Linked DNA regions of Macaca mulatta. The protein of the gene in region 1 purifies or fractionates together with the protein of each later gene. This does not show direct contact. Links are inferred from orthologs where the notes say so. Each region holds a gene or a part of one and is shown on either strand. Other genes may lie near its edges. The genes, in order: EXOSC4 and HBS1L.

Region 1 (3,979 bases):
CGCCTACCTCAGCCTCTCAAAGTTCTGGGATTACAGGTGTGAGCCACCATGCCTGGCTGTTGTATTTTTTAGAGCCCAAGGTAAGCAGCAGGAAAAGCCCAAGGGGCTCCAGGCCATAGTCCAGAGGCCATGGGACATGGCCCCCACATCTCTAGGTTGGGTACTCAGAGCCAGCTGAGTTCTCCCTCAGCCCTTTGCTCAGGGCCCTGGATGTGCCAGAGTAAGGGTAACAGATTCCTCAGTCCAATGACCTGGCTCATCTTGCCAGGCCCTGCCTCCTGCTCAGCTGCCTTGAGTCCTTACTGGGACATGTTGCTTTTTCCACCCAGGACCTCCCCCACAGCAACCCCCTAATCCACTGTTCTCTTCAGGGTTTGAATTAGGCTACACAGAGATAGGCAGTTCATGTGTGGGCGAGGGGCCCTGGTCATCCCCAGGAGCCAGCACCAGACCAGGCTCTGCCAGGCTTCACATGGCTCTGAAGTGCTGTTGGGTGATTAACGTACAGTGAGGGTTGTGTGGGCAGAGGAGGGTTTTATTCTGGACATGGGTGGCTGGGTGGTCAGTCCCCCAGCAAGATAGAGGCCTCACGCACATGCTGCCTGACCACTCTGTCCAAGAGGGTGTGCACATCTCGAGCAGCCTGGGCAGCAGCCTCCAACACCCGCTCCAGGTGGTCCTCGTGCAGCCGGGCATCCATCTCAAGCAGCGCAATCTGTCCTGAGGCTGGCAGCAGGGCCAGGGCCAGCTGGGGGCCACCAGCTGCCTCCTCCACATGGCTGAGGTCCGCCAGGGCTGTGCCGTCCACAAAGCCAGCTGAGCACGCACACACAAAGTCTCTCATGGGTATCCCAGCATCCAGCACTGCCAGTGTGGCTGCATTCACACAAGCTGCATAGGTCCCACCATCTGCCTGTAGCACCTGCAGGGACCCCAGGGTGTGAGTCTATCAGACTCTCTCCCCAACCCCATCACACCCACCCCTCCCTGGATTGACGCTGCAGCCGGCTCACCTGCACATAGATATCAATCTGGGAACGTGGGTGCAGCTGTGTGAGGATGGCTGCCTCGAAAGTCTGGCGGAGCTGCAGGCCCATCTCACAGGACTTCCGGTCCCCATGTGGCCGTCGCTTGCGCTCACCTGTGCTGAAGGTCGCTGAACTATATTGACAGTTCACTAGGGCCCTGTCCGGCAGGGCTCGAGCCCGGGAACCCCGGATCTGGAAGAGGACGGACACATGAGCCAGGCCCACTCCTTCCAGCTCACACGCCACTGTCCTCTGTGGGTCTGCCTCTCCCTCCACTTTCAATGCCTCAGCAAGGGGCAACTACATTACCTCCAAAACAAAGCCCCCTGTTTTGCACTCTCTGTCTTGCATGTGTTGCCCTCTGGCATCTTTTAATTGGCTTCCTTGTGCCCATCCTTGCCCCATTCCCTGCCAACCCAAGTTTACAAACATCAAGGCTGATTCTGTCTCACCTTCACACTCAAATCCTAATTACCTTACAAAGGTTTCACATTACATATGATATAAAATCCCAAATCATTTCCCTGGTCTACAAAACCCTAATTCCTCACCTCCCCGGGAACTCTCAACCTTATTTAGAGTTATCCCCTCTTTCCCCACCAGCAGTCTTTCTGTTATGCATAAGTGCCTTGCTTGTTTTCACCACCGTGGTCTTCGCCCTCCTGGTTCCCTCCGCCTGGAAAGCAGAGCTCCTACCCTCATGCGCTAAACAAACACTCTTTCAATACCTTCACTGGCCAGGCACAGTTACAGCGCTGGAAACACAGCAATGAAACCAGAGAGTTTTATGTAGTTTCTGTCCTTAGGAAGCTTATGTTCTAGCGAGGAAACGGGAAAATGCTTAAGCAAAATAGGCATTTGAGATTGTAGATGCACAAAAGACAAGGGTTTATTGTAGGGAGAGAAGTACCGCATGGATAAAGCCGTCTGGGAAGGAGTGACGTCGGAGTAGAGCTGAGAGGAGAGGGAGCGAGTGGGGGAGTGCCTGGCACGTTGAAGAGCCGCAAAGAGGAGGGAGAGCGCAGGCACAGAGACCGATGAGAAAGGCAGGACCACCGCGCAGCACACTAAAGACTTGCATTTACTCCGAGTGAGATGCAGTGCTGAGCATCGGCTGTGTAGACTGAGGCGCGCCGGCCGCACCTCTCAAGTCCCCGAACCTGTGCTCAGCCCGGCTGCCCCGCAGATCCCGCGGTCACGCGATTCCCATCCCGCACGCCCACTCGCCTCGTGCGGGCCGTAGACCACCGCCAGCGCCTTGGTGTTGCCCTGCTCGATGTAGGCCGAGCCGTCAGCCTGCGCGAACACGCCCATCCGAGCCTGGATCTTGCGCAGCTCCCCGGCGCGCCGACCGTCCACCCGGTAGCCCTGGTCCGACAAGAGCTCCAGCCCCGCCATGCTGCCCGGCCGCCAGCTCCGCTCTCTGCCTAGTTCTCTGATTCGCGGGAGAACTACAGCGCCCTGCGGCTCCGACCTCCCCGAATCTACGGTTTCCGGCGGTCCGCTATCACTTCCGGTTCCGGGGAGCTACAGCTCCCCGCGGTCCCGACCTCCCTGGATCTACGGTTTCCGGCGGTCCGCTGTCACTTCCGGTCCCGGGGAACTGGAGTTCCTCGCGGCACCGACCTCCCTGGATCTACGGTTTCTGGCGGTTCGGCTTCACTTCTGTCTCCGGGGAACTGCGGTGGCGCTGTCGGGGAAGCAGCGGTTGAGCCCGCAGCCGTTCCCGGAGCTGTGCCACGGGTGCCAGGAGGTGGGCGCCCGCCGAAGGAGAAATTCCCGTCACGCCCTCGGGACCAGTGGTGCCCACATTCAGCCCTTCCCCGCGCCCCAAGTGTGGAAGTGGAAGGATGAACCCAGTGGGTTGCGACACTGACAGGAGAAGGCATTGAGCGGTCCTAGAAAAGTGACCAGGCTGGTGTCCGAGGATGGTCCACACCTGGCACCTCTCCAGTCCTCTCATGCCCTCCCTTTACACCGAGCTTCCACACTGCAGTCGAGTGGGCCTCCCTTTTCCTTTTGAGGTTGCAGATTTCCTCATCCTTTCCAGAGAGGGGTTGTGTGTCTGTTTATCTCTTGCCACTTAACCTCAGCGGCTTCAAATAGCAATCATTCTATTATTATATCCTGCAGTCTTGGGTTATCTAGGCTCAGCTAGGTAGTTTGCACGTAGGCTCTCTCCTACAGTTGCTGCCAGATGGTGGCTGGGGCTGGAGCCATCCTAAAGCTTTCTCTTTCACATCTTTGGTGGCTGATGCTGGTGGCTGGCCAGGACCTCATCTGTGGCTGTCAGGCAGCACACCTACCTGTGGCTTCTCCATGCTTCCTTGCAATATGGCAGCTGGGTTCCAAGGGTAGCCTTCCAGGACAATGAGATGGACAACATGTGCATGATATTTTTAGAACCTAGCCTCAGAAGTCACATAGTGTCCCTCCTGCCAGACTCTGTGGGTCAAGGCAGTCAGACACATCTACCCAGGCTTAAGGGATGGGGACAGGGACCCCACCCTTCAGTGGGAGGAGTGTCAATATTAGACTGTAGGAACAGCAGGTGGGCTGGGGAAATGCAGTCTGCTGCAGGGGCCCAAGTTCAGCATCCCCTTAGAGGTGGTTATGCTCTCCTGAAAGACTGAGAGGCATGAGAATGAGTGAGCAAGCCACAGCCCTGCTGCTGCAGCTGGTATGAGGCCATGATAGGCCACTATCCTCTGCCACTGGCCACCACCGATTCCCCACCCTTGGCTCTGCAGCCAGACACTGCGTACTGTGGAGCAGCCCAGGCCCTTCTCCCCTTGCAGTCTGAGCTCTTCCTGTCCCTGTTCTTACTGGGTCATTTTGTTTGTTTGTTTTGTTTTTTTGAGATGGAGTCTCACTCTGTCACCCAGGCTGGAGTGCTGTGGCACAGTATCAGCGCACTGCTCCCTCCACCTCCTGGGTCCAAGTGATTCTTG
Region 2 (3,815 bases), on another chromosome or scaffold:
GTAGTTTTCATTGCATTTACCAAAGAATACAATATAGTTTTGATTTCTCCTTATATGTGTATATGTATGTGTGTGTGTATGTCTGTGAGTCTTTTTCTTTTTTTTTCATTGATTACTTACTGAATCCTGGCTGTGTAGCAAGCACTGAGGTAGCAGTGTGGGCATACAATGCCTACAAAGCACTGATAGTTTAGTGAGTGAGACAAACACCGGAACAAGCAGTTATAGTAAAAATGCTTTTGAATTCTAGAACCTTAGAGTGCATAGTTATTATAAAGATCGTTTATTCCAGACCCAGGGATGGAGGCTAACACCCGTAATCCCAGCACTTTGGGAGGCTGAAGTGGGCACATCACTTGAACCCAGGAGTTCAAGACCAGCCTGGGCAACATGGCGAAACCCTGTCTCTACTAAAAATACAAAAAATTACCTGGGTGTGGTGGCAGGTGCCTATAGCCTCACTTACTCAGGAAGCTGAAGTGGGAGAATCACCTGAGCTCAGGAAGTTGAGGCTGCAGTGAGCCATGAGGGAAGGGAGTAAGACCCTGCCTCAAAAACCAAAAATCATTTATTCCAAACTCTTTATGGAATTATGGTGGGAAAGGATTTTAGAGATCATCTAATTGAATTCCATTATGTAACAAATAAATAAAGAGACTCAAAGATGTTAAGTAACTTGCCGAGTGTGCAAAATATTGCAGTGGGCTTTGGGGACACAAAGAAGCATACGAGGCATGCTGCCTCACCTCAGGGAAATCACAGTGTAGAAGACGACACGTGAAGATGAAAGGCTAACAGTTGCACTCCAAGAACAGAGAAGATACGCGTTGTGGAGAGAGATCACTTTATTCTGCTTGATCATCAAAGGCTTCCTTGAGAATGCATAGTAGGCATTTGGACTCCCAAAGGCAAGAGCTGCTGCCTAGAAATAATATTAATAGAGAAATTGCCCAGAAATGTTTTGGAGATGGTAATAGGAAGATTAGATAGAACATTTGTGGCCTTATGTATCTTAATACCAATTCAATGAATTTTACATTTTAACCTAAGAAGGTAAATATAATTTTACAGTTATTATGAAAACCTAATGAGAAAAAGATTGTCAATTACTGAGCCTAGGACTTGGAAGTTCAGGTATGGATGTTCTATATAAACTATATTTACTCCCTAGTGTTTCTATGAAGTAAGTAAGTTGATAATGCAGAGAGGCTAGACAACTTGCCTGAGGTGTGGAGAACGGTTATTGACTACAAGCATGCGTGAAAGAGCCAATTTTCAAATTGATTGTTTCAGTGTATGCTTATTCTTATCTAAGAATCCTTGATCAAAAGAACTGTATCTCATTGAGGAAATAAGTGTTCAGCTTTATAAAATATGAAGGATTGGAAGTGAAGATGGCACTTAAGAGTAGAGACAAAGCAAGAGTATTTACGTACGAGTAAAAGGAAGCAGGAATAGTGTAAATTATCCCACCAGACAAAGTATATGGATGGTACTTCAATTTAAATTGTAATGTTCTATTGTGAGAAAATATCTGAGACATTCCTGACATATTTTATGACCATTTATTTTCCATTATGGTGAGGATTATATATGATATCTGAAATTCTTTAAAAACTGGAGAGCACAGAAATAAAGGGGTCGTTGGGGAAGCAACAAAGAAACAAGCTGTTGTGGACTCTGTTCTGACCAGAAAGCGGGAGAACTCAATAATGTGGATGGAATATAAGAGGACCCTAGAGAGAAAGTGATTATTGTGTAACAGTCCAAGATAGCTAAAGAGGGGAAGGGGAATGCCAGGTGTAGTCTTTGTTTCCTAGATTTCAGAAAAGTGGATTTCTGTGACAAACAGGTATGCATACAAAGCACAAGCTGTAAAAGAGAAAATAAAAGTGTTCTTTAAAAAATGCCCCTACAGTGCATTGACAGAAATAATTGATTAGAATGAAAAGGGGGAACGTCTGTGGTTGCTCAGACTGTCTATTGCACATTTTAAAAGGCTGTACCCACATGATGCAAGCGGCATCAACACAAAAGAATAGTGGGAACCTGTAACGTTAGTTTCCATAAGGCTAACAAAGAAACTGAGCTAAGCTAAGGTTAGCTTTCTTCTTGTGTGGGGTGTGTAATTTGAGTCTGAAAGAAATGTCTTTCTATCTGATTCACAAGATGGTCCACACAGGTTAGAAAACTTTGTTATGCAAGGCTTTTTTTCAATAGCTGTAGAGGATGAATATGCTGCTTTTTGATAATTCATATATTTGTTATTTTTCTTCATTATAAACAATACTCTGATGAATATCTTTGTAGATCTATAATTATTTCTCTGGGATAAATTCCTAGAGGTGGAATTGATGGGAAGTAAAATATGTATAATTTTTAAGTTCTTGATACTTTTCGTGAAAATACCCCCTGGAAGGTGGTGTACCTACAGTCCCGTAAGCAATATTTGAGAATGCGCTTCTCACTGCACCCTTGCCTACAGCAAATAATTTTGTCTTTTAAATCTTTAACAATGTGATTTGTAAAAATGGGAGAGGGGGAATATGTCAATGTGTTTTTATTTTACTTTTTAAAACTTTTGGTTTCTACTGAATTTGAATTTTTTTCATGTTTGTTGACCATTTATATTTCTTTAGCAAATAGCTTGCTTGTATCCTTTAAAGCTATGTCTTCTTTTTTGTTTTTTTTTGTAAAGACTCTATAGAGATTATAACTTTTACCTTATGTGTTACTAATGTTTGTCCCTCCCTGTTTACTGCTTTTTGTTTTTTTGAGACGGAGTATTGTTCTGTCGAGTAGGCTGGAGTGCAGTGGTGCGATCTCAGCTCACTGCAACCTCTGCCTCTCAGGTCAAGTGATTCTGATACCTCAGCCTCCCAAGTAGCTGGGACTACAGGTGTGCACCACCACACCTGGCTAATTTTTGTTTTTGTTGCAGAGATGGGGTTTCACCATATTGGCCAGGCTGGTCTTGAACTCGTGACCTCAGGTGATATGCCTGCCTTGAGCTCCCAAAGTGCTGGGATTACAGGCATGAGCCACTGTGCCTGGTTGCTGTTTATTTATGTTTTAATTTTGTTTATATTTTTCCTCCTTTGCTTAGATATTTTAATTGTTATATAATCAAATATGGCCATTTTTTCTTGGTCTTTATGTCATTATTTTTGGTGACTTTTATTTAAAATTTTAATCCATTTTTGGGAGTCTTTTGTTTGATTTGTTTTGATGGGGGTAGTTAGGGTCTTCCTTTAAAAATTTGACAACATAATTAATTGAATAATCTGTCCTTTGAATTAAAATGCTGAAACATTTTTTCTGGTTTCAATTATTTTTCTTCTTTAGGCGGATGTAGCTGTTTTAGTTGTAGATGCCAGCAGGGGAGAGTTTGAAGCTGGATTTGAGACTGGAGGACAAACACGAGAGCATGGACTCTTGGTCCGTTCTCTGGGAGTGACGCAGCTTGCTGTTGCAGTTAATAAAATGGATCAGGTATTTAAAGGCTTTGTGAAGATTTGTTTAAGATGCTAATTAAGATGTTATTCTGCTCATATAGATGACCTCAGATGTCACTAGTGTTTATTTTATTAGTCAGTTGCCATGTTTTAAAAAATAAATTCTCTGCTCTCATCTTAAAAGAGGTGCTAGTAATTTTTAAGCAAGAACATCTTATTTTCAAAATTAATTTTTAAAACCTAAAAATTGTTTTAAATTATAAAATAATAGATGTTTATTATAGCAGAATGAAAGTATAAAAATCAGAAATAAACCTGTATTTCCAATTCTCCTTCCCACCCAGAAACTTATAATATTTC

The links.
Region 2: the proteins of EXOSC4 (region 1) and HBS1L purify together in Homo sapiens (affinity purification with mass spectrometry; 3 studies listed by BioGRID and IntAct, with this or other methods). This does not show direct contact. The link is inferred for Macaca mulatta from reciprocal best matches to the Homo sapiens genes EXOSC4 and HBS1L.

What each region holds. Positions count from the first base shown.
Region 1 is NC_133413.1:154,461,043-154,465,021, reverse strand, and holds EXOSC4 (exosome complex component RRP41), read right to left. Parts: upstream 2,546-3,979; 5' UTR 2,427-2,545; coding exon 2,256-2,426; intron 1,221-2,255; coding exon 1,014-1,220; intron 923-1,013; coding exon 563-922; 3' UTR 521-562; downstream 1-520. UniProt on the Homo sapiens protein: Non-catalytic component of the RNA exosome complex which has 3'->5' exoribonuclease activity and participates in a multitude of cellular RNA processing and degradation events.
Region 2 is NC_133409.1:40,072,174-40,075,988, reverse strand, and holds part of HBS1L (HBS1-like protein), read left to right. Parts: intron 1-3,345; coding exon 3,346-3,492; intron 3,493-3,815. UniProt on the Homo sapiens protein: GTPase component of the Pelota-HBS1L complex, a complex that recognizes stalled ribosomes and triggers the No-Go Decay (NGD) pathway.